Linked DNA regions of Caenorhabditis elegans. The protein of the gene in region 3 interacts with the protein of the main gene of each other region in a pairwise test. Each region holds a gene or a part of one and is shown on either strand. Other genes may lie near its edges.

What was found.
Region 1: the proteins of mcm-6 (region 3) and T24D5.3 interact in a two-hybrid assay, tested with the Caenorhabditis elegans proteins (one large-scale study listed by BioGRID).
Region 2: the proteins of mcm-6 (region 3) and F32D8.4 interact in a two-hybrid assay, tested with the Caenorhabditis elegans proteins (one large-scale study listed by BioGRID).
Region 4: the proteins of mcm-6 (region 3) and cya-1 interact in a two-hybrid assay, tested with the Caenorhabditis elegans proteins (one large-scale study listed by BioGRID).

The regions. Positions count from the first base shown.
Region 1 is NC_003284.9:12,577,267-12,585,247, reverse strand, and holds T24D5.3 (RXT2_N domain-containing protein), read right to left. Parts: upstream 5,175-7,981; coding exon 5,164-5,174; intron 4,567-5,163; coding exon 4,450-4,566; intron 4,006-4,449; coding exon 3,961-4,005; intron 3,858-3,960; coding exon 3,801-3,857; intron 3,687-3,800; coding exon 3,636-3,686; intron 3,199-3,635; coding exon 3,142-3,198; intron 3,005-3,141; coding exon 2,951-3,004; intron 2,539-2,950; coding exon 2,432-2,538; intron 2,346-2,431; coding exon 2,035-2,345; 3' UTR 1,484-2,034; downstream 1-1,483. Other genes in the region: T24D5.2 (DUF38 domain-containing protein), read left to right, coding at 1-65, 498-634, 679-841.
Region 2 is NC_003283.11:10,889,908-10,896,269, forward strand, and holds F32D8.4 (PIH1 N-terminal domain-containing protein), read right to left. Parts: upstream 3,654-6,362; coding exon 3,471-3,653; intron 3,426-3,470; coding exon 3,318-3,425; intron 3,272-3,317; coding exon 3,161-3,271; intron 3,114-3,160; coding exon 2,916-3,113; intron 2,864-2,915; coding exon 2,751-2,863; intron 1,973-2,750; coding exon 1,810-1,972; 3' UTR 1,690-1,809; downstream 1-1,689. Other genes in the region: F32D8.12 (D-lactate dehydrogenase (cytochrome)), read right to left, coding at 1-283, 944-1,086; F32D8.14 (Protein YIPF), read right to left, coding at 3,849-4,411, 4,474-4,572, 4,625-4,705, 4,751-4,793; F32D8.5 (Transmembrane protein 70 homolog, mitochondrial), read left to right, coding at 5,020-5,110, 5,155-5,300, 5,346-5,454, 5,508-5,608, 5,655-5,891; F32D8.13 (Phosphomevalonate kinase), read right to left, coding at 5,898-5,922, 5,975-6,271, 6,318-6,362.
Region 3 is NC_003281.10:9,791,709-9,800,321, reverse strand, and holds mcm-6 (DNA replication licensing factor mcm-6), read right to left. Parts: upstream 5,956-8,613; 5' UTR 5,955-5,955; coding exon 5,719-5,954; intron 5,670-5,718; coding exon 5,381-5,669; intron 5,334-5,380; coding exon 5,048-5,333; exon of another isoform or gene 5,027-5,047; coding exon of another isoform or gene 4,811-5,026; intron 4,769-4,810; coding exon of another isoform or gene 4,490-4,768; intron 4,433-4,489; coding exon of another isoform or gene 4,325-4,432; intron 4,280-4,324; coding exon of another isoform or gene 4,107-4,279; intron 4,052-4,106; coding exon of another isoform or gene 3,938-4,051; intron 3,892-3,937; coding exon of another isoform or gene 3,774-3,891; intron 3,499-3,773; exon of another isoform or gene 3,497-3,498; coding exon 2,053-3,496; intron 2,006-2,052; coding exon 1,828-2,005; 3' UTR 1,679-1,827; downstream 1-1,678. Other genes in the region: ZK632.2 (uncharacterized protein), read right to left, coding at 1-520, 899-1,015, 1,071-1,211; srxa-10 (Serpentine receptor class XA 10), read left to right, coding at 3,774-3,891, 3,938-4,051, 4,107-4,279, 4,325-4,432, 4,490-4,768, 4,811-5,026; R10E11.9 (uncharacterized protein), read left to right, coding at 6,764-6,821, 7,054-7,126, 7,178-7,267, 7,466-7,736.
Region 4 is NC_003281.10:9,105,452-9,112,206, forward strand, and holds cya-1 (G2/mitotic-specific cyclin-A1), read right to left. Parts: upstream 3,822-6,755; 5' UTR 3,752-3,821; coding exon 3,728-3,751; intron 3,462-3,727; coding exon 3,147-3,461; intron 3,098-3,146; coding exon 2,978-3,097; intron 2,933-2,977; coding exon 2,496-2,932; intron 2,446-2,495; coding exon 2,263-2,445; intron 2,182-2,262; coding exon 1,803-2,181; 3' UTR 1,248-1,802; downstream 1-1,247. Other genes in the region: dos-1 (Delta and osm-11 homolog protein 1), read left to right, coding at 240-316, 1,086-1,156, 1,202-1,233. UniProt on the Caenorhabditis elegans protein: Involved in the control of the cell cycle after S phase. May bind to and activate cdk-1 and/or cdk-2 to promote cell cycle progression. Necessary for embryogenesis.

The DNA.
Region 1 (7,981 bases), on a different chromosome or scaffold from region 3:
CTGCCACAAATTTTGAGATCACTTCTAATATAATCACTGATCAAGGAATCAATAGATTCATTAAGGTAATGCGGGAATTCATAGAGCAACTTGATTAGTTAGACACAATCAGCAATGCAACTTATTTTCTATAATCTTCATGATATCGCTTGTCAGTGTTATAATTTTGAGAAAGATGATTGATTTAATTAATTAAAAAATTCTCATGAATAATACCAAATACTTTTTTACTTAGGATACTTAGTCGATCCGTTCTTTGCCTACGGCCTGGAGCACAGTTTTCCAAGCTTTTCGGTTCTTTGCTTTTTAGTGTTTATAGAAAAAAGAACTATCCGATCAACATTTATTTTGTATAGAAATACAACTAATTGAACGAAAATCTTCTTCTTTCAAAATGTTAATGATTCTAGATCAAATTAGACACAAGCAACAAAAAAACTCCCAGAACCATTAGTCCTCTTTTAAGTGAAACGAAATAACTGTAATTTGATTTCTAGGCGCGTCTTGCTGATGATATTCCGGACAACTACTTCGCATCAGTGGGATGTCGGCACGGAAACTGGAAGATGAAGGAAGTGCTCAGTGGCTTGAAGTACACCGCATATGACGACGAGATGGCATATGTCCGCAAGAAGTAAATTTTCCAGTACATTTTTCATCTAATAGTGACGTTTTCAGTGGAATGATTCCAATCAACGTCTTTGAAGCTGATTTGGTAAGCTTGCCAACCACTAAACCAAATGAACGATTGGTAGTGATTATCAACAAATATTACTTTGAATGCTTCAAGGAGTCCATGAAGCCAGATCTTCTCGTCCATGATACCACCCAGTTGCCATAAAATCTTTGATCTCTTAACCAAATATCATTAGAACAAATTTTTACGTTCATTAGCCGTAGTGTTTGAAACTTGAGATTAATTTCTAAGTGCTAAACTTTTTTCTAAAGTAATCAAATTTCCATATTTCGAACTCATTCTAGTGGTAATGCAAAACTGGAATTCAAACATTCATTACAACTAGAATGCCTCCAGTACCGTTAGGAGTTCTCTTAACATGCCAATTCACTATTTTTGTTTAAAGTTTACAAGCTGTCTGTCTTCCGTTCTTGAAACTCCCATTTCCCTGACCAAATGGCATAACCTGAAAACCCTGCTTACATAACGATCTATCCCTGATTTTTTTACTTTTAAATGTTCCATCCATTTGTCTTAATCATAATCATAATTTTCCCACTGCAATTTTTACTCCTTATCCGTGCTTCTTTTTTCTTGAGACATTTTCAAATTAGTCATGTGTAGTAAAACCCCCAATATCAAACCATAACACTGTGAAACCCTCTGGAATAATGAATACGAAAGTAGTAGCAAGGTTGCCGTGTAGTCCTGTCCCTTCTCCTTTTGTCTTGTTTGTAATTTGCAGCTGCAGATCTGAAGTTTATGAAATCAATAAATCTGAATATATAAAGTAATAGTTGTTTCTGTTTATTAGAAAACAACAGTTATGATTTGGGAGATAGAATATAAAAAATGTGAAAAAGAGTGAAGATATTATACTTGTAAATGTTAAAGGACAACAGTAAGAAAAAATGAAAGAAAATTGAAACGTTCGGAGCCAACTTGAACAAATAAAATGAGAAAGAAATTAAGCGGACCGAAAAGGGAAGAAACCATATTTGAGCTTGAAATTGGAGTTGGACGATTTTAATCAAACGGAACGTGAACAAACTCCGATGGTTCAATTGAGGTCGTGAATCAAGTATGAGATAAATTGGTCCGTTCAGAAAACAATAGATCTGAATAATGAAATTGCGGCCAGGGAAGAAGAAAACAATGGAAACGGTAGAAGGGAAAGGATGTTTTTCGGGAAAAGAGAACATCTGAGCAAGAGAATAAGAGATTTAATGACGGGAAAAAAGAGATTAAAAGTATCAACAATATTACATAGTAATGAGGATAGTATCAACAAACAACAACAATTTTAAATTCTAAAAATTTAAATAGGATAATCGGGAATGTCAAAACCGATTTGGAATCTAGAAACACAGTTCAGCCTTCATCGCAGCCTCTAGAGCGGCAAAATCCGCGGCATTCAACTGCCGAAATTTATTCTCCAAATGAAGAACAATAGTGAGAAGGACTGGATTATTTTCCTTCTTCAGTTTATTTTCCAAAACATTGTATAAATAAACTTTGAGTTTATCATCCTGCTCAAGCTGACCACGCCGAGCCTCGATAAATTCTTCAGCGATCAAAAGATCCTCAGCAATTTCTGCTCGCTTGAGAGATGCTCGGTCCCACACTTGGGCGGGCAGGCTTTTGAAAATTTCGTTAGCGTGTTGTTCCCCTGTAAAAATTAAAGTGACTATTAAAAACAGGGCAATGTGTGAAATATTTATAAACAGAAAATGTATTTATCAAATTCAAACCTACCATTTTCACAACCTGAGAGATATTTCAATTGTTGCATGAGAAATTTCAGATTGGCTTTGATACGGCCAATGTGAAACTCTTCCGGCTGTTCAGGAAGTGTTTGTTTGCTGCAATTAAAACCTTTTTAACACTAAAAACAATAATAGGCAAAAATGTGATTTATCAGAAGAAAATCATTCTAAGTAGGCTTGATAACTTCAATTTTAACATTTTAAAAATTTTTCCTTAATTTCGACTCTGGAAAAGTATGTATGTATATTCTTCATTAGCACTTTGCTACCGCTAGTCCTAATTTGAAAACGGCTAATTCTAAGGAAATTATGGGAAAAATTGTCTTAATTTCAAAAAAAAAGTAATTAAATTCGAATAAGATCGTGAAATTTTTTTGAATTTTATTTTCATTTTGAAGAATTAAAAAATTTAAGCATAACCCGAAGAAGCCAAATTCAAAAGTTCGCGTTTCTGTTGAAAGAATATTGAAATTTAATTTTTAAAATTGTATTAAACTTTTCGACTTACACTGGCAATTGGCAGTTTTCCTCGTTTTCCCAGATTTCGATTCCATATTTACAGCTAAAAATTGACTTTTTTGTCTTTTTCGTTCTTTTCATGTTTAAATCAAAAATGTTCGTTGTCGTATTTGAAAATAAAATTTTTTATTCGTTCCAGTACTATTTGTAAACGTGAAACTTAAAACCGATTCGTATTACCTGTCCTCCGCATCTGAAGAATCACTGAGTTGACTGATGTCTGGTTGGAGTATCACCCTAAAATGTTGTAAAATTAGAATAAAACCTTGATAATAAAATTATTTCACGCGCTCTAAATTTTCTAAATGTTTACCCCAACAGGCCTTCAGAAAGTTAGTGCTGCACCCCTTTTTTATTGCGAGAGTCATCTCAACAGTTTCGAAATTTTGGGTAATGTTTTTGTTTATTTTGTTTTTGATTACTTTTAATTTATAAACATAATTGAAGTATCATTTATTTTTGCTACACAAATTCACACTCCTTATGAATTTGTGTTTAAAATATGAGATTTTGTGACTAAAAGCTAGCGATCTCCAATTGACAAAGGGGTGCGAAAATTAGTGCTGCAGCCTCCAGTAGTACTGAAGTCTATAATAGTGCTGCATTCAAAAAGTTTCTGGAATTTAGTGCTGCATCGCAGCACGTATAGAGAATATACGGTAATAAACGCTTACTTGGAGACCGGGTTCTTTTGCTTCTGGACTGACGATTTGAACGAATTGTAACTGCAAATATATAAATTGGATAATATGACAAACGGATTTAGTTTCGGTTTAGGATTTAGTATAATTCAAATAAAAATTTTTTTAACCCAAAAAAAAAAAAAAAATTCTACTCACCTGTTTCCAGTTTCCAAAAAGACATCACGTTGGTTGACGTCTGGTTTGAGCACGACTCTAAAAATTTAGAAAATTAAACTTTTAAAAATTTTGATATGTTTAATTAATTCAAACATTACTTCTGTTAAGAAAAAATTTGATATATGTAATAAACACTTACTTGGAGTCCACGTTCTTTTTTTTCTGGGGTGACGATTTGAACAACCTGAAATTGCAATTATAATATATAAATGAACAGTATTACAAACGAATACAATGCCAAAATAATTTAATGACTGTAATAAAACTTTTCAAAACAAATTCGAAACTTTTTTATTTCGAACCGACAAGTAGTGGAAACTGAGTGTGTCGAAAACTTTAAAGCAGTGTCGCAGACAATATTGAAGTATGAATGTTTCAAAACTACCTAGAACGTGAAACTGGAAGAAAACACATTTTTTGATTGACGACTTCTAAAAAATAGTGCAAACTGAGATTTCTCCGTTTTTTTACTTGAAATAATACCAATTTTTTTTTGAAAATGCTTTCGTGATCTTTGATCATTTTAGCTCGATTTAAATAACTTTTAATCATATCCCCACAAGCCGTAGTCCACTTTTAAAGAAATCAGTATGAAGCGCTTTTTTCATTTTTTAACCTAAGGACTTACATGTATTCGGCATTCTTTTTCTGGATATTTTCGATCTCAAATAGTTCATCAAGCTCGTAGAGCCAGTTGTTTGATTTTCTCCTTTTTGCTAGCTCATCGTGTTCGTCGTTTTTATTTCTGAAAATAACTTTTATTTAATGTTGCATTCAAAACAATTATATTTCAAATGTAAGATGTATATATGTTGGATACTTTTAAAAAAATTGAAAATGTAAAATGGGAACTACTTTTTTTCAATGTTGGTTGTGACACCAAACATTTAAAAAACAAATGGAGCCCCTCCCCGAAAAATTATTTTGAATGAAATTAAGATAATATGTGTATTGAGTTGGTCCCAAAAACCCATACATAAAAACCCATATACTGGCGTGGTCCATTTTGAATGTTAAAAAAGAAACGAGTTTCCTCAAACCATCAGTTACTGGAAAACAATTTCTGAATTTATTTTCAAATATTCCCTTTTTTAGAGTAGTAAAGACTTATTAAACTTTTAAATTTTATAAACTAAAACTATGCCAACTTACATACAGTTAAAACTCCGTTTCAAATATTTCTTATTTAACTAGATTCAATAGCTTAGAAAATAGCCGAGTTTCCTGTCTGAGAACAAAAGCATATTAAAAGCAACAATTATTCGTTGCATTAGTTTTTTTTAATTTTCAAAATGTTTGCAACGTTGAAATCACCTAGGATAAAAAATTTATGAAAACTAACCGCTTGGGCATGTTGATTGTTTCCAACAAAAAAAATTGACGATGAAGTTTTCTGAAAAAAATTATTCTTGCCAGAATGTTTACAGAAACATAAATTAATTTTTAAAGGGATGATTTCGTACAGAAACAGAAGTGGAATCATACCAGCGGCAATAACAGAGTCACTTAAACCGAGTAAATGCAGTTTTGAATGAATTTCTTTGCTCCGTTCGAACAGCCGATATAAGTTACTTCCATACAAAAACTAGTAGCGAGAAATGTCTGTTAATTTGTCCTGAATCACAATTAAAGTAAAAAAAAAAGACAAAATAAAGATGAGCGACATGGTTTATGTTGATCAGTTAGTGTGCTAGAGATAGAGTGGGAGAGAGATAGAGAGAAAGTGTTATGGGCATGGGCGCAGCAACAGTTGAAGGAAGGAGGCCTGAGAGGAGAGGGGCTCACAGTAACGAAAGCGGATGCACCAATCAATGAATATGTTTACATTACTGGAATGGTGAACGCGCGTATCCGAAAGGTGGTAAATCAAATTACATATCTCGTTAGTGAGATGGTTATTGTTCGTAAAAAAAGAGTTCTCAAAAAGTCTTAACCACAAGGTCATAGTTACTTGGGGATCTAAAAAAAAGTATAGTAGAAAATATGTATGAAAATCAACAGTGTGTACATTCAGCCTTTATTCTTGATTTATCTTGATTTGAAAATATTTTCATTTGACAAAAAAGGCCAAGGAAATAAATGCATAAATATATGAATACATTTGTCAGAGCACAACATTGCAATTTATAACCATAATTTTCTCAAATCAAGTTGCCTGCTTTTTGGGAAACATAAAAGAATTTGAATTAGTGTTATTACGTAGTCTTACAAAAATCCGAGGACGAAAGCCAATGTTTTGAAAACAAAACAATTTGTTGCCAAAAAAGTAAGCCGGTAAAACGGAAAAACTGTGGAGAAACATTTTTAAAAAAAAGTATTTCATATGCTGCAACTTTGGTAAAACCAAAAATGACAAAAGTACTAACTGATAAAGTGAAGCGATAGAGCTATGAGACAAGTTGGAAAAATACGGTAAATTTGTATTTCGCAATAAAAAATTAGATAGCTTCCTGAAGTTGTTCAAAATAAAAGTCTCAAAAACTTTGGATGTCGATTTTTCAATTGTTCCTTTTGTTTTTTCTTGTTTACCTTGAAACTCTCAAATTCCTGAAATTAGGGGTGGCTATAGGTCGACCTAGGTCGACCTGCGACCTAGAGGGTTAGGTCGCGTCGCGACCTAGGTCGCATTGCGACCTGCGACCTAGCGACCTGCGACCTAGCGACCTGCGACCTAGCGACCTAGGTCGCATTGCGACCTGAATTACCGACATTTTGTTCTCTTTCGGTTTTGCTTCACTTGAGTTGTTAAAATCCGTATAACTCGAAAACTAAAGATTGCAGAATATGTATACTAACAAATTGCTACAAATCATTGAAACCCATAAGTACCATAGTTTTCAAGTTGAAACAATTTTAGTCAGCAGCAAATCCGGCCTATGTCGGCTGTTCTAACTTTTTTCGACAAGGTGTCTTATGGATAAGAAATCGAAAACAATGTAAAATAAATGATTTGTAGCAATTTGTTAGTATACATATTCTGCAATCTTATGTAGTTTTCGAGTTATACAGATTTTAACAACTCAAGTGAATCAAAACCGAAAGGGCACAAAATGTCAGTACTTCAGGTCGCAAAGCGACCCAGGTCGCTAGGTCGCAGGTCGCAAAGCGACCTAGGTCGCTAGGTCGCAGGTCGCAAAGCGACCTAGGTCGCTAGGTCGCAGGTCGCAATGCGACCCAGGTCGCTAGCTCGCAGGTCGCAAAGCGACCTAGGTCGCTAGGTCGCAGGTCGCAAAGCGACCTAGGTCGCTAGGTCGCAGGTCGCAATGCGACCTAGGTCGCTAGGTCGCAGGTCGCAAAGCGACCTAGGTCGCTAGGTCGCAGGTCGCAATGCGACCTAGGTCGCGATGCGACCTAAATGAAAACAGCGACCTAGCGACCTAGGTCGCACTCTTGCCACCCCTACCTGAAATCCATAAATCTGAATATATCGAATCAATGTTTTTATGGAAGAACAATAAGTTTAAATCAAACATGCACAAATACAAAATCGGGGAAGCCACGTTGAGAAAAAATTGAATGGGAATGAAAATCAGAGAATACATAAAATGTCAGTTTAGTACAAGAACACTGTAAGTTTTGAGCAACACATTACATGCAAAGTATGAACGGGATGAAGATATCATAAATGAAATGATTTACGGGTAACGTTGAAAAAAAAACATACATGAAGAGGTCAGAGTTTTGAGCCAGCCGGAGCAATTGGGATGAGACAAGAATCAAGTGGAAATTGAAAAAGATCAAAACAAAAAAACAATCAGTTTCGTGCACGAAAATTGTTTGAATGAACTTGTATAATTAATCAAACTGTGTAAAATATTGCAACAAAATAGAAACGGGGCGAAGTTATCATAATTGGAAAGGTTGATAGACAAAAGTAAGGAATCGAAGACGGAAAATTAAGAAATTAAAGCAAATCGGAGCTGCAAGGGAAGAAATCGGGTGGAAATGAAAATCAAAAAGATTCAAAAACCAGATCTGTGCACAAATTACATAAAATCAGTAAATTTTTAATCATTGGTAAATTTGGAAAGAAAATATCATCATGGAGGTGGTAATTTCACGGAATAATAAACATGATCGAGAGAAATGGTGAATCACATAAAATTTGGGAGAACAGGTTTAAGTGTCGAAATTTGAAAATTTGAAAAACTAAAACACCA
Region 2 (6,362 bases), on a different chromosome or scaffold from region 3:
AACTGGGAAGAATAATCCAGAATTTTTAATTGCATCATTAAGAGCAATTCTTGTAGTTGATGGTTTAACAGAACATACAAAATCTTGCTCACGGAGCACTGGATCACCAATTATCTGTTGAGTACTTATGCAAATTCCACCTAAAGTTGACATAGATCCACCCTCAAGTCCAGTTCCAGTACCAAATGGAACCACTGGAATTGCTCTGTCATTGCATAGTTTTAGAATTTCGGAGACTTGTTCAACATTTGTAGGCTCCAGGACAACTGCTGGTGGTGGTGCACTGAAATTTTGTATCATCGAAATGAAGTGTTATTTCCTAGAGTATATTATTGGACAATCAGTTGCACAGTCTATTTTTAAAATATTATAATGCCGGGCACTATTCAAAAGTGTTCTGTAGCTATTTTTGTAGTTCAATATTCAATTTGGAAAAAAATGTTGATCTTCAATATGTGATTTTTGGTGATAAAAATATAGACCAAGATTATCTGGATAAGCTCAATAAGTAGTAACTAAATAAATAAAAAAAATTTCCGAAATGATTTATAGTCTTTGCAAGTTGAGATAGGATATTCGTGCTAGTAAGAGGTATCATGTTTTTGGTGGAAAATAATGAGAATCCTTCCAAAAGTAATGTAAACAACTGTTGTTATCTAATTTTTAAAGTTTTTTTTTAATCACAAAATTTTTGTTGCGCGTACTAAGGCACCGATTTTTTAAGATGGGTCTCACTGCATTAAAAAATTTCGGGAATCGCTCATTCCTTTATTTAAAAAAAATGCCAACTAAAAATATAAAGAAAAATTGTTCAGAATAGAAATTTTACAGTAGGCGTTTCAGAAAAATGTTAAATTGCGACACCTTTAAACTTTTGAAAGTAGTCAATTGTTGAAGTTGTAAGGAGTTGGCCAATAATCTAATTGTTCCGTTCAAAACTCACATAAAATGACTTTCATCTCGTGCAAATTGCCTTCTTACAGATTCTTGTGTCCGAACAGAAGAGTTTCCAACAATTTTTTGAAGATCTGGCAAAGATTTCTCAATTGCCGTTTGAATTGCTTGAGAACTGAAGACTCGCCGCATTTTCTAAATAATGTGAATGAAAATGAAAGAAATGAAAGAAAATACAAATGAACAAGAGGTTAAAAGTGATAGAATTCGGCTAAAAACCATCTTATCTTCCTCTATGTCATACGTGATGGGTTGATCGTAGTTGAAGAACTGGACTCTGATGTAACACAGAAAACGGGCAAACCAATAAGTTCAATGAAACATTGACATGAAACATCGAGATGGAAGACGCAGGATGAGAAACATTGAAAATAGTGTTGGTTTCTACGTGATGAAGACGAAAATGGAGAATTAGAGAAGAAATACGTTAAAATAAGCTTTTTCTTGTTTAGAAACCTTCAGAAAAATAGAAATAACTTTGCATTTATTGAGTTGTGAATTAGTCCGCTTTCTTACTTTGAAAATAATTTACTTCGAAATAGGATTCTGCACGGGCAAAAAACATCAAAAATGGTTAATTTTTGTTTTCATAGGATATTTTATTGACTGTTTCGTTGTTTGAACTTCAAAAAGTCGCAATATGCATGTGATGTTTTTTAGGATCGAAACGCTCTGGATCTTATTTTAGTTGATTATATCTATTCGGCGATTTTCAAAAGCAATAATATAGATTTTTTTTTAAATTTTAATCAGTAAAACAAATCTGAAAAATTCCAAAACTGGGAACAAAATCAACAAGTAGAAAAACAACGGCATTCAACAATAGAGATCTAGAAGAAACGCGAGATTACAGTATCACAACAGAATGTTTGCTGAAACCACTAGTGTGAATTTTTCGTGGTTGAATTTGGATTTGGCTGTGGACGGATTGATGTGAAATGGGAGTCCGAAATCATAAAGGCTGCGACTTTTATCCAACGTTACCAAGCATCGAGTGGGGTTGAGTTGGAGTTCTAGTCTGAAAAATATTAAGCTTTTAAAAAAAGCTTTCAAGTTATCAATTTTAGGTTTTTCAAAATCAGGTATTTTTTGCTTCTGCTTCTTTACGTACAAATTGGAAATTAGCTTTGTAGCCTCTTATGGATTAAAAACTTTTATACAGTTTTTCACACCTACAAACTTATCAATAATAAGTCTTGCACGTAAAACTAATATAGATAATAATGAAGTCTGTGTTTTTGAGAATCTTGAGAAATTCTAGACGATTTTGGAAAATTATTTATCATCGGGTAGAAATTAAATTACGATACATTTTTTTTAATGTTACGGCCTGTGGGGAAATGATTAAACACCATTCCTGCGGTGCTAAAACTGCGAAATAAATATAACTGTTGGAAAAATTTTGGAAATATGTTTATTTCGAGTCAAAAACTCAATTTTCACGAATTTTCTGAAAGTCGATTAAACAATTTGTCTTCCAATTTTATGTTTTAATTATGTTCAAAATATTCATATTATTACATTATAGGGTTCAAACATCCGACAGTAATTTAGATTTTTTTTTAAAATAAAATAAAAAAATAAAAATTTGTCAAAATGTTTTTTTTTAATTTATTATGAAATTTCGACATTTTAGCATAATAGGGATGGATTTCAATCATTTCCCCACTGGCCATAGTCAACATTTGAAATTGAAAGAAAAATCGATGATTTTAATTATGTGTTCACACTTTTTGAAAACTCAACTCGCATTTTGATTGTTTATATTTCAACTGAATTTAAAATAATGTACCCACCTTCTAGGATCTTTGATTGGTTCGCCATTAAGTTCACATCGCATACTGATTTCGAGTCTGTCACCATCAAAAAGTCGTATTCTTGTTCCATCAATGTGTTTCAGGCCAAACATCTAAAGGAGACATTTTAAAGTTAAAATTATTGTTGCAACAAAAATAACTAACCTCATTTTTCATTTCAGCAACATCATCATTTCCAACTTGCTTTTTTTCTTCTTTCTCCATTCTAACTTTATCTTCCTGATACATTTCTTCGACAATCTGTTTTTCTGGTTTTTTGTGAATTTTTTGTACTTCAAGTTCTCCAACTGAAACACGATTGCGAAGAACGATTGGTTTCAATGGGTCTAAGTCAATGGAGTGCTGAATTTAAGAATTATGTTATTTCAATTGATAAAATTTCAACTGACTCTATCCTTCACAAGATCGCAGAAAATTAGACAAAGGAGATGACGGAAGAATGCGTCATTTGGAGACGCTAGTCGTTTTTTATAGAATGTGCTGTTTACCAAAACATCAATCTAAAAACATTTCATACTAACAATCAAACATTTATAATTAAACTACCTTGATCGAATTTTCATCACTATGATCTTTCACGCAGTCAATTTCGCCAACACTCATCGGAATTCGAAATGACGGATTTCCAGCATCTAATTGAGCAGCAATTTCATCCTTTAAAAATAGTTGATATTACGGAAATAATTTCAAAATACCTACTTGATCAAAATCGTCGATTGGTGGCGGTAATTGCTCGCAATGGCATACATTTACAAAACACTTTCGGTATTCATCGTTTACAATTCCATTGATTTTTACATCCTTCCATTTACACACATAACCTGGAAGTGGTTTGATGAGCCACGTTTCCGCTTCCTCCTTTTTTTCAATTTTAAGATCCATCTGAAACAATTTCAGTATTTCCAGATATACGAAACCAAAAAGTATGCAAACGAGTTTTAACATTAAGTTTGTAAATCAAGATCAGGATCAATGACAAAAAATAGTTTATGATAATGAATTAATTGAGGCACTATACTCATAAATAATGATAATAAATTACTCAAGTATTTAAACTATTCACAAGAAGACACGACGTTAGAAAATGGCAAGAAGGGCGAAAACAGAGTAGAGAAGAACACACGGATATGCAACGAGAAGACGTTGGTGATCCATTGACAAAGCGATTACAAACAATTTTGATGAAGCAGAAGAACACCAAAGGACAGCAAGCGACGATATAATATACCCGATAATGCCCTTGAATGATAATACAGCTGTAACAATGCTCAGAAGAGCCATTGGAAGTAGACAATATCCAAGAACTGATGCGGTGCAGGTGAAGGAAATATTTTTCTCGTCCGTTGCCATGAGATTCATGAGGGCATAAATTCCAACGCATCCAAGTCCGCCAACTCCATAGATAAATCCAAACGAGAGTTTGCCGTGAAGAAGAAGAGCGGCTCCAAAAAGAAGACAGAAGACGAGAGGTCCAGCAAGATCTTGATCAGCAATAACTTCGACAGTTGCAGATCCAGTTGGATTTAAAACAGCAATAGTTTTCTCCTTGATATGTGAGAAGTTAATTCCGAGTTCTTCCAAGAGTGGTGGCTCATTTTCATAGTCTTCGCCATCAGCAGCAACACCGGCGTTTGGAATTGCTGAAAATTGTAGAATTAAAAATGCATTTCAGAATGAAGAATTGATATAAATATATATGTACCTCCCGTCCCGTTGTTTGGCATGAACATTTGTCCTCCATAATAATTGGTTTGTGGTTGTTGATATTGTTGATTTTGTTGATAGTAGTCGTTTCCAGCTTCTGAAGGTGAAATGATATTCAAGAAATTTGTTTAATTACAAATAAATCTCACGCTGCGGTGGCTGTTGTGGCTGCGAGTAATCAAATTGACCCCAACCCATGTCTTGTTGATTTGTTTGAGTGTTCCATCCTCCTGAAAATTATAAAACTATAAACATTATACTTTAAATAAAAATACCCTGTTGTTGTTGTCCATCATCCATCCAAAATCCATTCGACATATTGAGAGTATAATCAAAAATTTATTGAAATGATGTGGCAAATGAAGAGATTTTTCGTTGTAACAGTGAAGCAGTAGAGCGCACTTGTGTCGCGGCCTAGAAATGTTTGAACGAACTCTGGTCCGTGTACTCCTCTTGGACAACTTAATCTTGAGTGAAATCTTCCTGCGCTGAACCTGCTTTTAATAAATTTCAACACTTAGCTTCTTGGTAGTATCAATAAATTATGTCTTCATTATATGCATTGCTCCGCCCGATTAGAATCAGCTCATCGAACTTTCAAAAATGTGTAAGAAGTCTTGGAACAACGTCAAAGTGTAAGCGATTTATTTCAAATTTCAAATTATTGTTTCCATCTGAGTTTCAGGCAACGTCGAAGTTCTACCATTGTCAAAGATTGATAAAGATGACTTGGGACACTCCATTCTAATCCACAAGGGAACATTACCTCCCGGATCACAAAAAACTCCTCATGATGTAGTCGCGATGGGTGTGAAAGGAGCTAAAGTTCGTTCAACGGAGCATGTTCTTTTGTCTTAATCAAAAATTCAGATTCTGTCACTGTCTTCATCTCTTGCCGGAGTAGTCATGGTTCCCGTGCTATCCTCCTATTTGTGGGAAGCAGCTGCTGAAAGACCTTCGATGATGATGTTTGCAATTGGTAAGAATTATCTCTATTGAAGAACGGATTATTTCAAATTTCATTATTTTCAGTGGCCAACACCTTCCTCGTCCTGCTATCTTTCACTCCGCTACTACTTCATTTTCTTGCAAAACGATTTCCCATCGACATATTTTACAATAATGACAAAAAGGTAGTGCATGACCATTTTCTAATCCATTTCAAAAACATTTTAACAGGTGTTCACAACTGTTCATTACAATTTCTTAATGCAAAAACAAGCATTGAGATTCTCAGCTTCTGAAGTTGTCGATGCAGCCGTAGCTCCCGAAATGAAGAAAGTATGGATCCCTCTGGCAACAGCTTTTGTGGGCAAGCGGCCGCTTCTCATTTCCCTTGATCGAAATGCATATCTTGACAAATTGGCATTTGATGACCTCACAAAAAATGTTCACATTCCACCAAATCACGATTGAGAATTTTTATTCCTTGTTGATAGGTAGCTTTCTATTCAGTTGTTTTTTATCGTTATTGTTCAATAATTGAAAGATTTTCTTACAATTTATCAATGATTCGGGAAATCTTTTCAGTAACCATATTTAGTTGTTGAGATAAATCTGTTCCGCTTTGATTTTTGATAACTAAGTTGAATTTGTAGTCGTCAAGTCCACATTCAGATTCGGCATCATCGACACCTTCGACAAATTGGTAGCCTCGTTGTTTTCTATCCTCTTCACTTGTCTCGATTCGAATCGTTACAGTTCTGTAGTTGGCACTGAAATATTCATAGTCTGTCCTTCGTCGGCAGTCGGATATAATAACTATGTCGCTGTCCATTGTTGAACTGATCGCCGCTCTTAAATACTATAATTTGTCAAATACAATTTCAAGTTTCCAACAACCTGCAAAACAATCCGGAATCTTTACATCTCGCTTCTTCTCCCCAC
Region 3 (8,613 bases):
TTTCAACAGTAGTCAATGGTTTCTCATCTTCTCCATAATCCATTCCCCATCCACATCCTTCTTCTTCTTTTTCACGTTTTTCATCGTCAATCATTTCTTGTGCTGCAGCGGCTCTCAATTTTGCTTCCAATTCTTTTTTGTGTTTTCTTAACTTCATTTCAGTTGGTGAACAATCCCATTCCGGCTCTGAATCCTCTTCAGGCCCAACAAAATTCAATATTCGAGTACTTTCTCCAAACTGAAAAATGAATCCAACTCTGGTTCTGATGTATTGTTTCGGTGGTAATCGTTTTTTATTCATACGGCTTCCATGGGTACTTCCCAATTCAAAAATATGCCATCCTTTTCCAGTTTTTGACATTTTATCATTTCCATATTGTAAAATACAGTGATATCTTGAAATTGATGGATGTTCCATTAAAAGATCACATCCTGGCTTGATTCTTCCGATAACTACGAACGTTGAATTCTTTCGATTTGACAAATCATACGAAGCAATTAATTTTCCTTCTTTCAGAATCTGAAAAAATTGTTTTTATTTTATTTTGTATCAACAGAAAAATTGAGAAAATTAGCATTAAAATTACGGTTTCTGGTCCTAACACTACAATTTTTGTTAAATGCGAGAATATGTGCGCCTTTAAAGAGTACTGTAATTTCAAATTTTCATTGCTGCTTAATTTTCACCGAATTTTCATAGTTTTTCTCTCGATTTGTCAAAATTGAAATGTAATATATTTGCATATTCAGGTTTTTTAATAAATTAATTTAATTCATATCGAAAAAAAAACTACAGTACTTTAAAGGAGCAGACGTTGTTACATTTAACAAAAAATTTTCGTGTCGAGACCGGGTACCGAATTTTTTGTGCAAAATTTCGCGTCTGGGTAATATGTACCTCAAACTGAAATTTATGAGCTGGATCCGGTTCACAAGCCCAAGGAGGCACTTCATAGTGTAGAGCTGGTGCTTGCACTGAAATTTTCGATTCTTTTTCAGCTTGAACTTCCGCAGTCTGAAAGAAAAATGATTATTTCAATATATATATAATCAATAAATATTTTTCAAACCTCAATTTCATCAATAACTCCTTCAACTGGACCGTCCATCTGTTCAGCGGGAGCTCGAATTTTTTCAGGCGACATTGGAGCCGGAGCATGATGAGATGGAGGTAAACTTGGTGATTTGAAGGCTCCGTCTGATTCAGACATTACGCTGAAATATTTATTATTTGATTTCTGAGCTAAAAATACGGTAGCCGGTCTCCGCACGAAAAAGGTTTGAGGAAAAAATGATGTGCACCATTATAGAATACTGTAATTTTAAATTAAAGGGATTTTCATCGTTTTTTTAAAATAAAAATAAGATTATTCATTAGCAAGCTCAAGAATAACATTAAAAACATGAATTATCGAAAAACGGGAGAAAAAAAACAAAAAAATATGAATCTGTAAATTACAGTACTCTTTAAAGGCGCACATCCGTTTTCATTTAACAAACATTTATCGTTTCGAGACTAGGTACCGTGTTTTTGGCACAGAAATCCCAATATTTTACATCTGGATAACTAAAAGATTCGGTTTGCGAAAGTTGTCCACGAGAAGTACATGGCCGTCAATGAAACTAGGCCGCAGCCCATACATTTTTCACTTTGAACACATAGCAATAGTTTGGAAATATTGATGAAAATTCATTCACAAAAGTTCCGGTGATAGTCATACTCAAGTTAATTGCAAATTAGTGAGTTGATGATGATGATAAAAATAATGATAAACGGTAAAAGAGCCTGGATAAGAGATCAATACACACGGGAAGCAATTATTTCAATTATTCGTCGGCAATAACATAGTTCGGATGAACACAGAGAGTTGGATCTTCTCCTTGCTCAACTTCAAGAAGAACGTGATCCTGGTGAATGAGACGATGAATTACACGCTCGCAAATAGTCTTTTGTACGTTGAAGTCTTCCTCCGTCTCCAAATCTGCTTCGATTGTCGACAAGTACCTAAAAACCAGAAATTTAAATTTAAATATTTGAATATTTAAACAAACCATTCAACAAGTGCACTCTGCTTGACACCATCATACTCGTCTTCTCCTTGATTGTCTTCATCGGATCGCATATGTAAAACGAGAACATCAGACAATTGCTTGTATTCCTTGAATGAGATTTTGAGCTTTGCTATATCAATCTTCGGAGCATTTTCCTTCTCTCCATCATGATCCATACTATCATCTCCTCTTTGATTCTCTTTGTCTGCTTCAACAACCATGATATTGTTGTCAAAGTCGTCATCATCCAAAGCAATGTCTGGTTGCTCAACTCTGACGATAGACTTGTTGAGAAGTTCGGCAGCCTTTTCGACATGTTCCACCAGTACTTCCTTTCCACAGTGAAGACGAGCAAGAGCCTCAGACAGACGAACGAGAGACTCCAATTGACGAACAGTGATTCTCCATGATGACGTGGCTGCATTGTTGCTGTCAGACATACGAAGTTTCTTGTACTCTCGAACAAGAGTTTCAGCAGCTTTATCCGAAATCTTCGGCTTGAAGCAACGAGCAAACGCGATATACTTCTTGATATCATCAATTTTGTAAACACTGTCACGTTCAGTATGCTCACTGATCGCACGATGATTATCAAGGATCCGACGGGCAATAGCGTAATCAGTAACTTCATTGCACTCATCGACCAACACAAAGAAAAGATCGAAACGTGACATAATCGGAGCTGACATCTGGACATTATACTTCAACGGACGACTTCTATCATAACGTCCATTAACTGGATTTGCAGCGGCAAGAATTGATGCACGGGCATTCAATGTTGCTTTGACTCCAGCTTTGGTGATGGAAATGGTTTGTTGTTCCATTGCCTCGTGAATGGCAACCTGATCCTTGAGGTCCATTTTGTCGAACTCATCAATACAACAAACTCCATTGTCGGCAAGCATGAGAGCTCCAGCTTCAATGACAAACTCGAACGATTCCTCGTCTTTTACAACAGCAGCAGTCAGACCAGCAGCTGAAGATGCTTTTCCAGAAGTGTAAATAGCTCTTGGACTGAACTCTTCCACAGCTTTCAGAACTTGCGACTTGGCAGTTGATGGATCTCCAACAAGACAAACGTTGATATCACCTCTCAGTGAAGTTCCTTCGTCCCTGCTCTTCTTCGCGACACCTCCAAGAAGCATCAGAAGAACTCCAAGCTTAACTTCGTGGTTTCCATAAATGTTCGGGAAAAGTGAATCGACAATGTTCTTCTCGATTTTCTTATCGTCACTCATTTTCTTCAGTGTTGCACGATCTTCTGTTGACATTTTCGACCATAAATCAAGATAATCAGTCTCCTCAACAGCTCCCGAAGCATCTCCACCAACAAGACTCTCGGTTTGTTGAATATGACAAGCCAAGAATGCCATTTTATAGGTAAGATCACGGACTCCAAGAGCTTTCAATCCAGTGATTCCTTCGCTTTTATCGGTCGCTCTGCCTGTAAAAAATCAGATTATTGTTGAGTCTCGCTAGTTTTTTTTCTTAAAATATATATTTAAATTTATGAAACCATAGGAATCACTAGTCACTGAAAATCAATTCTACTTCCTCGTTCCACGTGACCATAATTGTTCGAATACTAGATGCTAATAAAATCAAAATCACCACATTATCGAGAAACGAGGAGTCCATATAATCACATCTTCCAAAAGAATACTACCCAACCATTGGTTCCTACATTATTCAACCTGCTGGTGTGTTTCTTTTTTCTACAAATGGATGTGGATGCTGCCGTTGTTAAGCGTATTGCTCTATGGGTTTACGAGACATGTTCGGTGTTCAATTTATTCTACTGTATTACTTTATCACTGGCAATAAAAACTTCTAAAAACAGTTACGAAAAATTCGGGATTTTATTTTTTTAAAAATCTCATTTCAGATGCTCTACCAGCCACATACATCTATAACATGGCAATTTCTAACGCACTTCTAGTCATATTCGGAATAATGGTCTACATACTCCCCTATTACATGTCCGATAAAACATATAAAAGTAATAACTGTCCGGACACATGAGGAAGGATATATTTTCTAATCTATATTTTCAGCATATCGGGATTCAATAGGAGCTATGATTTCGGTGGGTGTAACGTTCAATTATCTTCATCCAATGCTCACACTTATTCTGATGACTATTAATCGAATAGCAGTAGTTGTGAGTATGCAGGCATCTCAGCTTTTCACTTCTAGCAAAATATGGCTCTATACTTCATTTCATATGGTATCTTGAAATGCTAAGATTTCAAATGATACATTTATTCTTCAGACTGCCAATTTCGCATGTCTTATTATTCCCTATCTGAGTGAGTGTCGGATAAATTATGATATACGAAAAGTTGGATTCATATCTGAATGTGCACCAGACAGGCATCAGGTAAAGTAGATCTACGGATGATATCTGTGTTACAAAAATTAATAATTTAATTTGTAGATCACAACGTTCTCCAATTATTACTCTGTATTCTTTCCGTTCGTAGCATTCTTTTTCAATGTGCTAGTTATTATAAACTTCAAACTTCAAAGATCACCAACATATACAAAGATCAAAAATATGTTCCGACGTGGGAATGGAGATCAGTTTACATCAATGCCTTCGGATGTTTTAAAAGCGAAAAAGAAGACTGAACGAATGCTTATGATTCAAGCTTTTATCACTGCTTTCTATCTTTCTGTATATGAGCTAACAAGTCTTGTTCTACGAGTTGTTCCGGTATAAATTCAACGAAATAGCGTTTACTATGCAAGTTTTCAGGAACTCTTTGGAAATCTTTCGCTTGACGGAAAGCTCGCATTCACTTATTTTCGACTAGCTCAGGTGCCATGCCATGTATTTCTAGTATACTTCATTTTTACCCCTGTTACCAGAAAAATCTATATGGATTTTGTTCGAGAAAGAGTTTTCTGTATGAAACCAGCGAAAAAGAAGACAATCAAGGTATCTGCGACAACTACTTCCACTAAGAAATGAGTTTCGAATAAAATTGTTTACCTCTGTTCTGATTTGAAGTCTCAGCACGAAGTCCAGGAGTGCTCAATTGAGCAATATCTGGAATGACGATAAGAGTTCCAACAATGTCACATTTATCTCCTGGTTGGACAGTTTCAACCATTTCTCCTCGAACAATCACATCGACAGTACGTGGAATTGATCCACGAGGCAACTCTGCTTGAGTCTCCTGAATTCTAATCTTCTGGAAGTCGACGAAAGTAGATGAGTTGACATCGAGACTGAATCTGGTACGATTCATGCATTGAGGATTAGCACATTTAGTTGGCTGAAAACATTTGAATTCGTTATAAGCTAATTATTATCTCCGCATACCTGAGTGTATCTGAACTGCTGTTGAACATCACGTGTGGTAACACCGCAATCCTCACACACGAAACAAGCCCGTGAAAGTTCTGGATGCACTGGGTGAGTTCGGACAATCTGACCGGCAATGCGCACGAGGCCTCCGACTTTGTCCGCAGAAAGCTCACGAACTTTCGTTTTCGCATCGAGATTGAACAGCGAAACGTACAATTGCTTCTTGAACATTTGCTGTCTCTCACTTTCATCACAAGCATCTAAAGTGGCCAAGTGTAGAGCTTCGCACATGAATGGATAGACCCTGAAGTATATTTATAAGTATTCGAAAATACTAATCGAATTTAATTTACCTGTAGTATTGCAGCTCGATAGTTGTTGCGAGATTGTTACTGAACTTGTAGAGATGTTGCATGTTAATGAAAATGGTATTCTTTTCTGGTTGCACGAGCTCCTTCATCGCAGATTTGTAGATAAACTCATTTTTCTGGTCTTTGAAGCTCTTCAAAAACTTGGAAAACTCGTTCTGCACACGAGTTCCGTCGGTGTCCTCCACTTGCTGGGCTTGACCGCCGATAATGTTGTCCATGCTGAAAGAATTGATTTAAAAAGAATTAAGGCAACTTTCTTAATCGAAAAAGTAAGAAAGAGAACTAGAAATTCAGGAAGTCGGTGCAATCTGAAGAGGAAAACAATGAGAATGCGGGAAAACGACGAGAAATAAGACACCTAAAATTCAAAACTCAATTTTGGCGGCAACCTGCGTACCGAAACACTGGAGTGTTGTAGACGAAACAGTGTGCGCGGTAAAGAGACGCAGACAAATTAGGCGCGAAAACTGTGCGGCTGTGAATTTGAATTTCGACAGAAATTCATTGTCATTCAGAAACTTGCTTTTTCAGATGTAAAAGATATATTTTATGAATAAAATAAAAAACTTATTGGGAAAAATCAAAAACAGAAAAAGGCGCTTTAAAAAATAACAATTCTTGCCATGTCGTCGCAAGACCATTTCCCAAAAACGTGCCTCCCTTGAAACTCACACGGTACGGTACTTTGATAAAAATCGGGCCTACGATTTCTAATTTAATAGCCTGTAATGTAGACTTCAAGAATCAGTAGTTATTGAGAGTCACGAAAAATTTGAAACATGCAAAATTCTCATTCAAACTTGAATTAATTTCAAGGGGAGATAGGTTACCTTGAGACCATTCGGGTTACTGTACTTCTTAGAATTTCAGAAATTCGGGCGATGTTTAGAATGAATAAATATGAGTCAGACGTGCGCAACAGGCCGAGGAAACTTATGCGAGAATATGTGTATGTTTGCTTTCTGGACACTACAACTTCCAAGCTTTGTCGACAGAAAAGTTGTGTTATACTGCTTTATCGATAAGTATGCACTTTCTCTTTAAATTATTCGTTTTGATTTTAAATCTAACTCTGATCTCAAATGGTGAGTTTCGACAATTTTAAAAGTTCAAAGTTCAAAAGGCGCTATAGTATGATGAAATTCACCTATAAACATTTTTTAGAGATTTCCATTTAATTTTGAAAGGCGCACGCTGGATTTCTGAGTGGGTCTCGACACGATCTCGGTGCTACAAGCCATATTTCTCACCTAGCTTCAAGTTTATTGGAAAATATGATGAATTTTATTAAAATACCTTGTCAAAGAATTGTTTCAGTTAAATCTCAATCATACAATGACGTCATTTGCCGCCGACCGTGGTATTTTAACTCACCACGACCTGCTCCAATGTAAGTTGGAGAATATTATAATTGGCAAATAATTCCGTTTTTCTCGTTTAGGAGGTGTCCAACTGCTTCTTTCTTCACATATTATGAATGTTGTGGAGAGTTCTTGGAAAACTGTTGTTGGAGATTTAGACAAGAACCCATGTAAGCTTTTTGTAAAGTAGCTCTAACTAGATCCACATCTAAGTCATATAAATCCACAGAAGAAATTTAAGTTTTCATTTGAGCATCTGTAGTAGAATGAGACATCTCTCAGAACATCCCTATAAGGGGATGAAATTTTGGATTTCTTAATTTGGAACATCTTAAACAGGAACATCTTGAAAACTAAACTTTTTTCAGAATAATCGGAGTAATTCTTCTTGTTCTTCTCTTACTTGTATGTTGCTGTTGTTGTGTTTCTTGGATATTCGTTGGAAGAAAAAAGAAATCTTCAAATATTGAACCAGAAAAGAAGCCAACAAAGAAAGACTCACAAATTCAAACAATTAGCAGTTCAACAATAGATTCTGGAACTCAATGGGAACTCCGAAGAAGCTACGAGGAAACTGATAAAAGAAGGTCTTATGCAGCTGCTAGAGATCAAGAACTGGATTATCAATATTTTCAATAATTATATATTCTGCTCAATTGGATTTTTTTTTGAAAAATTAAAACGTTCCGATTTTCATTTTCCTTGAAAGTGCCATATTTCCTCAAGGATTTTACAAATTTCAAATTCCATTTGTAGACTTAAACGCAAGTGATGCAAAAATAGATGTATGTAGAATAATTTTCTCTGCGGTAAACTAAATATTTCAAAATCAAAGAGCGACTTGGTAGGTAAACTAAATATTTTAGTTTACCTACCAAGTCGCTCTTTGATTTTTCAGTCTCCAAAACGAATAGCTCCTTGTTTTTCTAAACAATTTTCTTTCCCAGGTACCTCGTTGCAATTTTCTCAAATTGCTTTCCTGCTTCATTTTTCACATTTCTTTTCACAATTTTACAACTATTTTCTCCCCTTCAACACCTTTCACAGAAGCTATTGTCAACATCAGTTTGCTCATTTCTATCCATCCACCTCTCTCTTTTTCTGTTGGTTCGTATATATTTGTAATTCAATTCAAGAAACGTGTGCTCTTTCTCTTTCCAATTGCCCATAAAAATGGGACTGGGAGGTTGGATCTTTTGGAATTAGGCACTAGGAGAAAAACATGTTTATTTCAACCAATTCATTTGATTGAACCACTTTTCTTTTACCCCGTTCAGAGTTTTTTTTATAATATATTGTGAGAGTTATATAATTACGACTCAAATTTTGAAATTTGAATTGCGCGTATAATTTTTATTATTGAAACCAAGCTTCAAAACTTTAGTGCTCACCTTTCAGCTATGAATGTGTTGTATTTTATGAAAATTTATATAAAAGTATACGTCGCTCAAAACCCTGTCTCAAAGTCACAACGTTCCAAATGAGTCTTTGCAATTTTGAGAGAGTTTCCAAGAAA
Region 4 (6,755 bases), 690 kb from region 3:
ATTCGTATGACAGTTGAAGTACGCTAGATATAATAATTGTGAATGGGCGCAGGTCCTGAAACGAGTGAAACTTCTCAGCAACCGTAACCTCTAATACGGTCATTGTACAACAAAACATTTATGGTAATCGAGAAAAAAAGACTGAAAACCACTGTTTACGGTATCTGAAAAGTTTCAACCGTGCCGGGACCCAAAATCAAATCAAGCCAGCTATTAAATATTAATACATGATTTTCCAGTGTGAATACGAATACCATCGGATGCAAAAATGGTGTAAACCGCCACGAATTGAAGAGAGATTCAAATACTTTTGCAGGTATAACATCTTTTCCAATTTTTCTTTAAACCCATCTCTATCATTATCATCTTATGACTTTGAAAGATTGGGAAGAGAAAACGAAAGAAATCGCAAAAGACGCACCCCAATCTTTCAAAGTCTTTTTTCTTTTTCTTATCGAATAGCGTTATCATTGGCCTCGAAACTGTTTGGTTTCTAGAGGGAAAGGACAATTTAAAAATGACGGGGATATCTTTGAAAACTAATTTGAACATTTTTGAGACGCAAGAATACGGTAACACGACATTTTTGTTTTATTTAAAAAGATTTGCACCTTTGAATGGTACTGTAAGTTCATTTTTCATAGTTTTCCGATAACAATATGTTTTCTGATTCAAAAACTTAAATATAACAATAAAAGCTCATAATTTTAAACAATTTATGAGAATACTCTGAAAATTCGATGGAAAATTCGCAAATACACAGTTTTGCGATTACAGTACCCTTTAAAGACGCGCTCCTTTTTGCATTTAACAAAAGTTGTCGTGTATCACAAAATTTCGCGTTTGGGTAATGTGCTGTGCCTTTAAAAAATACAGTAGTCTCTATTTTTCATTTAACACTTTGCATTTAAAATTTTAGTGTAAATGAAATCCTAAAAATTGGGATGCAGCAATAACTTGGGAATTACTGTATTTATTAAAGGCGCACGCTATTTTTTGCAATTTACTTTTTAAATTGTCGAGTCGAGACAAGCTACCGTATACTTATCAAAAATTTAATTAATTCGATTAAGTGTTTTTTTCAGAATCTGGTACATGTCTTGTTCTACATATATCGAGGAGCTTGATCCAGAAATGGCAGACGCTTTTGTTTCTCGTAAGTTTCAATTTTCAGATTCATTGAATGATTTTCCAATTCCAGAATACGCCAACTACGGGAACTATCACGGTTAAACTATTTGTTTTTTTTTATTTAAAAGATTTATTTGACAAAGAAGGTATCTTCTAACATTTGGAAAGCACAATAAATAATATAAAATTTCAGTTGATATCATGATTATAAAAATTTTTAGATTTACATTTTGAAAAAGAGAAACGAAAGAACGATGGGGAGAGCAACTACGAGATGAGATCGTGGAACAAATATAAAACAATGAGCGCAGTGCGTAAATTACGGCTCGGAACAAAAAGGAATCATAGATCATAGTTGCCAAGCCAGGAGTATCATAAATAAATAAGAAAACTGGAGAAAAAGCTGTAAAACAGCCAGATAAGGGGGTGGATGGAGAGCACTGATAATACTATTACATATAACACAAAAAAGGAATTTTTAATATCGGATCATATCCGTGTATGTTCCGATTCCTGTCGGGATGAGTTATACAAATACAAAGAATTGTTACATAAAATCGTAGTTTTAAAAGGAGAATTTTAGAAGATGTAATCGATAAAGGCAAACAAAGACAGGGAATGAAATTGAAAGTCGGGAAATTTGGAGAATTCAAGAATATAACATGGATTATTTACTGGGGACTACTACTATCGTTGGAAGATTTTGGAGCGGTGACAAAGATCGATGGGAACATCGATCGAAGCTTGTCAGTAGGTGCCGGTAACAGGGCCACTTCCATTTGTGCAGTCTCCGAGTAATTGTAGAATATTGACTTGAAATCTGCCGTTGATGCATTCAGGTACATCCTGTGAAGATCCCTCAGCACGTCCACAAAATCTTCCGTACTGATTCCCGTGTCGTCAACCATTTTTTGTGGCCAGGATTCAACGTCAGCCTGGAGATTTGCAAAGCAGCAAGCCGCAGCTGCAATATCGGATGGGCGGTAACGTAGAAAATGGACATCTATCAGCGACAACTCGAGGAGATAATGAACAGTATTCCGCATCTTTCTGTAATAAAATAACGTTTAAAATTGAGAAAGATCGCTAATTTTTTTCACAGGAGCTAAAAATGATGATATTAAAACTCACTTTGTAAAGTTCATTCTCTTGGCAAAACATGTTCCGAACCAAGATGATGTGGGCATTGCAACAACGAAGTCAAACTTTCCGAGCAAGAATCGCTCCATTAAAAGAATGTCGGGAACTCGGTAGGTGTTGTCAGTGATGAGAGCAAAGTCTTCAATCTCTGGCGGAAAGATTTCCTCGTATTTCCTGAAATTTGAGATTCACATTCAATTGAAATATTTTATTTAAAAACATACACTGCGATCATCATCGACGTCGTTCCAACCAATTGAAATCGCATTTTATCAATGTTGAACATTGAAAGAGCCCGATCAACGAGGCTCACAGCGAGATGAAATGTTTCCTTTTGGAAATTGTACTCTTTCACGACATCGCTGAACCAATCGATGAGAATTGTTCGCATCTCTTCATTAACTTGTGATTGTATGTCAAAGCATTCGTGTGAAGCTCGATTCTTCGTTTGACGGTGTAACATGTACTTGATAATGTCAGGGAAAAATTCTTCAGAACTGAACATTGAATCATCACGAGCTTCCTTCGCTGCTTTCTTTTGAATCTTCTTCACAGCTTCTTCTTTTCCAAATTCCTTTTTGCGCTGATTTTCATCAAAATGGAATGATGAGAAGGTTGCACGGACGCTTGTGGTGAAGGTTGAAGAGGCGACGGAGACTTTCTGAAAGAAAAGTTCAATTTTCTGATATTATTTTCTTGGTCTCACATCACAATCGTCGTCATCACATAAAACAGAGAATTCTGAAGGTGGTTCTGAGAATCTTGAGGTGATATCACTATTGTCTCGAGTCTGCATGAACTTGAACTTCAGTTTTTCTGCACGACTCTGCAAAAAATTGTATATAAACAATTACAATTTTGAGTTCAAATCTAACCTTTTCTTCCATCTTTCGTTCCAATTCGTGTATCATATTGTTATCCTCAGCAGGTATTACGTTAGAATCTTTCTCCGTTGCATCAACATTTTCAGAAGAATTCTCTTTCTCTGGCTCCTGATCCTCAAATACTTTAAAACTGTCTTTTGCATCTATTTTGATAATTGGTGATTCATCTATTTTCTTGCTTGGTAGAGCTTGTTGAAGCAAATTACTGGTTCCAATTTGACGTGTCAATTTTCCTCCCAATGGTGCATTTTTGATCACGTTCTTGTTGTTCACTGCTTGACTTTTCGCCGCGTTTCCGTTGCTCGGCTGAAATATAGGTTTAATTATTAATTATATATAAAAAACATAATTTTAAAGGAATCGAATTCATTTTGACTGTTAAAAAACCAGCGTCTCACGCACTCACCACTTACCAATTTTTATCAGAAATCGGAAAAAATTGTTTCCACCAGCTCGGTAAAGTTGAGCTCGAAAAATGCGGAAAATTTGAAAAAAGATCGCGAATAAATAAATGTAACTAATTTGACAGTCGCATTGTAAATATATTTTTTACAATTTCAGAAAATACTTACCTTCAAACTAAGTGCCGACCGCATACTCGTCGCGATCTGCTGCTCTCAAAAGCGCTTGATAATTGGTCCCTAGGCGCGTGCGCTGTGTCGGAATCTGTAAAAAAGAGATTTAATTTCAAAATCAAGGAAACAGGCGAAGGAATAAACACGTGACAGCGAAGAATGAGGCAAGGGAAAAGGTAAATAACAAAATAGAATAAATCTAATGATTTTTTTTTTAATTCCTTAACTGAAATTAAGTTTCAAATAATGAAAAATGGTATGACTGGAGAAAGAAAACCAATTAGAGAAAGAGAGACTAATCGATATGTTGCGGAAAGGTGCTCAATGCGTACGGTTATGCAAGGGACCATTCAAGGCAGGACAGACGGTGAAGAGAGATAGAGAGAGGAGGGGTCACTGTTGCTAGCAGTTTCCCATCTAATGCTTCAGATGGCATGCTCTTTGTTCCAGATGGGACAACATTTAGATTGGTAAATTGTCTTGAATAACGTGTAACGGCATACATATAAGGATTAGATCGAGCAGGCAATATGTAATATCTGTTCGGCGATCTTCATTTTGGAGAAAGACCACCTGTTGCTCTCTCTTATTACTGGCTCCGAGCAATGTGAATGACAGAGAGAAATAATGCAAAATTTGCTTCAATGTTTGTTGGATCAATATCAAAAGTTATATGAACTAGTAGGTAAAGTGTGGTGTTGGTGTGTGGAAAGCAATGGTGACCTCCCTCGATGGGGGGGGAAACGTTCAACGCAATCCATTACGCAACCCGGCCTTTGGTAATATGACGAGATGTATATAGGCTCTTAAGCGGTCCTACTGAACTGATCGATAGAAAAATGGAAGAAACGTATGGAGCCAAACATGGCTTGTTGGTGCTCTGCTCTTATTGTTTTTTATGACACATCGGCACACATTAGACTTTAGAATCCGCGTGGGACCTGCAAACAAGGTAAACATTGAAACTCATCTAGCAGTAATATGTCTCTCACTAGGGTTTTAATGTTCTATAACCTTGAGAAAGTTTTGTGAATTCGCGAGCTTAATTTTTTAAAAATATTCCAAAAATACGGAACTTCAAAAGAATGTCATAGAGTCAGGAATCTCGACGTTCACAACATCAAAAAGGGTGGAAAGTTGGAGAAAATAACGGTTGAGATATTAACCTGAGATTAGACATCGAAATCGCCTTGCTTCGTCACGCTTACCCTGTAGAAATTGGCATTGACGATTTTGCCAAGGTTGCGCGCCACTTGACTAATTAGTGGTATTCTAGGCGCCATCGATAGTTTCCCAGAGAGTTTGCACCATTTGTAAACATTTACGCGCCGGCGGGAAGAAGAAGGAAAAAATAAAATGAAGAGATTGTTATCAGTGTGGAGCGGGTCGAGCAAGACGATGATAAAAATTACTATAAATTTGGAGAATGTGGCACAATTGCTTTAGATTCTAAGCCTCTGGACGCTAACGGAATCGCACACCTGGAATCACTCCGGCCAGCGGAGCGCACTTGCACACCCCCGCTTTTCTCACTGGTTTTACTCCAGCTTGTATTCTTTAAGGGTGCCTTCATAAGGAACGTTCGATTTTCATCGAATTTACAAAAAAAAACTTCACAAAGAAAGAAACAAAAAAATTAATAAAAATTTTGGAACTTTTTTTTTCAATTTTGGGACCTGACGTCTAAGCCTTTTATCAGAGCTTTTTGAGGGGCTAAAAGTTGTCAAAAAATAAGTTTTATCCGGAAAAAAAAAAAGAAAAGTGAAACTTTAACAAAAAAAAAAAAGAAACACCCTACATAGAATCGAACCAAATAGTGTTTCTACCAAACGGAGCGCACTACCCACTGCGCCAACTGAACACAGATTTTCACACCATTCTTGGTGAAGAAGGAGAGCCGCTGCAGCGCGCTGTAGTTTGAGAAAAGCGGGGGTGTGCAAGTGCGCTCCACTGGCCGGAGTGATTCCAGGTGTGTAATTCGGTAATCCAAGCCTCTGGAAATTTGTTCTTTTTCAGTTTTTTTTCGGCAAGTAAGTATATAGTAAGGCGCGAAAAGTTTTTTTTTTGAATTATTATACTTGTACCTAGTGAGTTGAGGTGCGAGAAAGGGAAAGAAAGAATGAATGTTTGCCCTCTCTGATATGATACATAAAAGGAACGACGCCGATGAGACTCGATGGCTAATGAGAGGACCTTTTCTGAAATGATCGAAGTGAACCTATTCAGCGTGCGAAAAACACTTTAATTTTCAAATCGGATAGCATTCTTCGAGGAGAATAAACTTTTCTGCAAATAATAATAATAATATCTGAATAATCGAAGTCGATCTAGGAAAATATCCGAGAAATTCAAATTTTGAAGCTCAGAAATTTACTTTCAAAGGAAAATAGATAAACGTGCAGTGCCAGGCGGTACGGGCAACTGGAGATCTAAAGAGGAGGTGAACGAACGATTTGTCCTCTCATGTGTCAAAGAAATTCAATCATTTTTGAAACTTCGCGCGGGAACACATACGAATTTAAAAGGAAACGGGAAGCGTCTGAAAATCTAGAAATGTTGCTTTAAAAACTTCAAATCGTCAAATAAATGCACGGAAGAAGTGAAAAACGTATGCAAATGTGCCAAGAAAATTAAATCGAAAAAGAAAAACAGAACACAAGAGTCGCTTCGAATGAATGGTGGCTGAAAAAGTTTCTGGAAAAAACAAATTTGTGAATTAATGGGCGGAGTTTTGAGCAACAAAAACGGGAGATAAGTAAAAACCTGGCACATTTTTATTGAAAAACTTTATAAAATAAAATAAATAAATTTTGTTGTTTTATAAATTTTGTTAAACAAAACTTGTGTTGCATAACTAAAAGAAAAAAAAACCCGCCAATTTCTTCGCGAGTTTTGAAAGCCACGATAAAAATTCAACAAAATTTGAGTTTAAGCAAATGCGCTCTGTTGAAAAAGTCTACCAGCGGGAGTTTGAAAAATATAAAAATACATTGATTCGACTGTCGATTTTCAATTTAATCTCTAA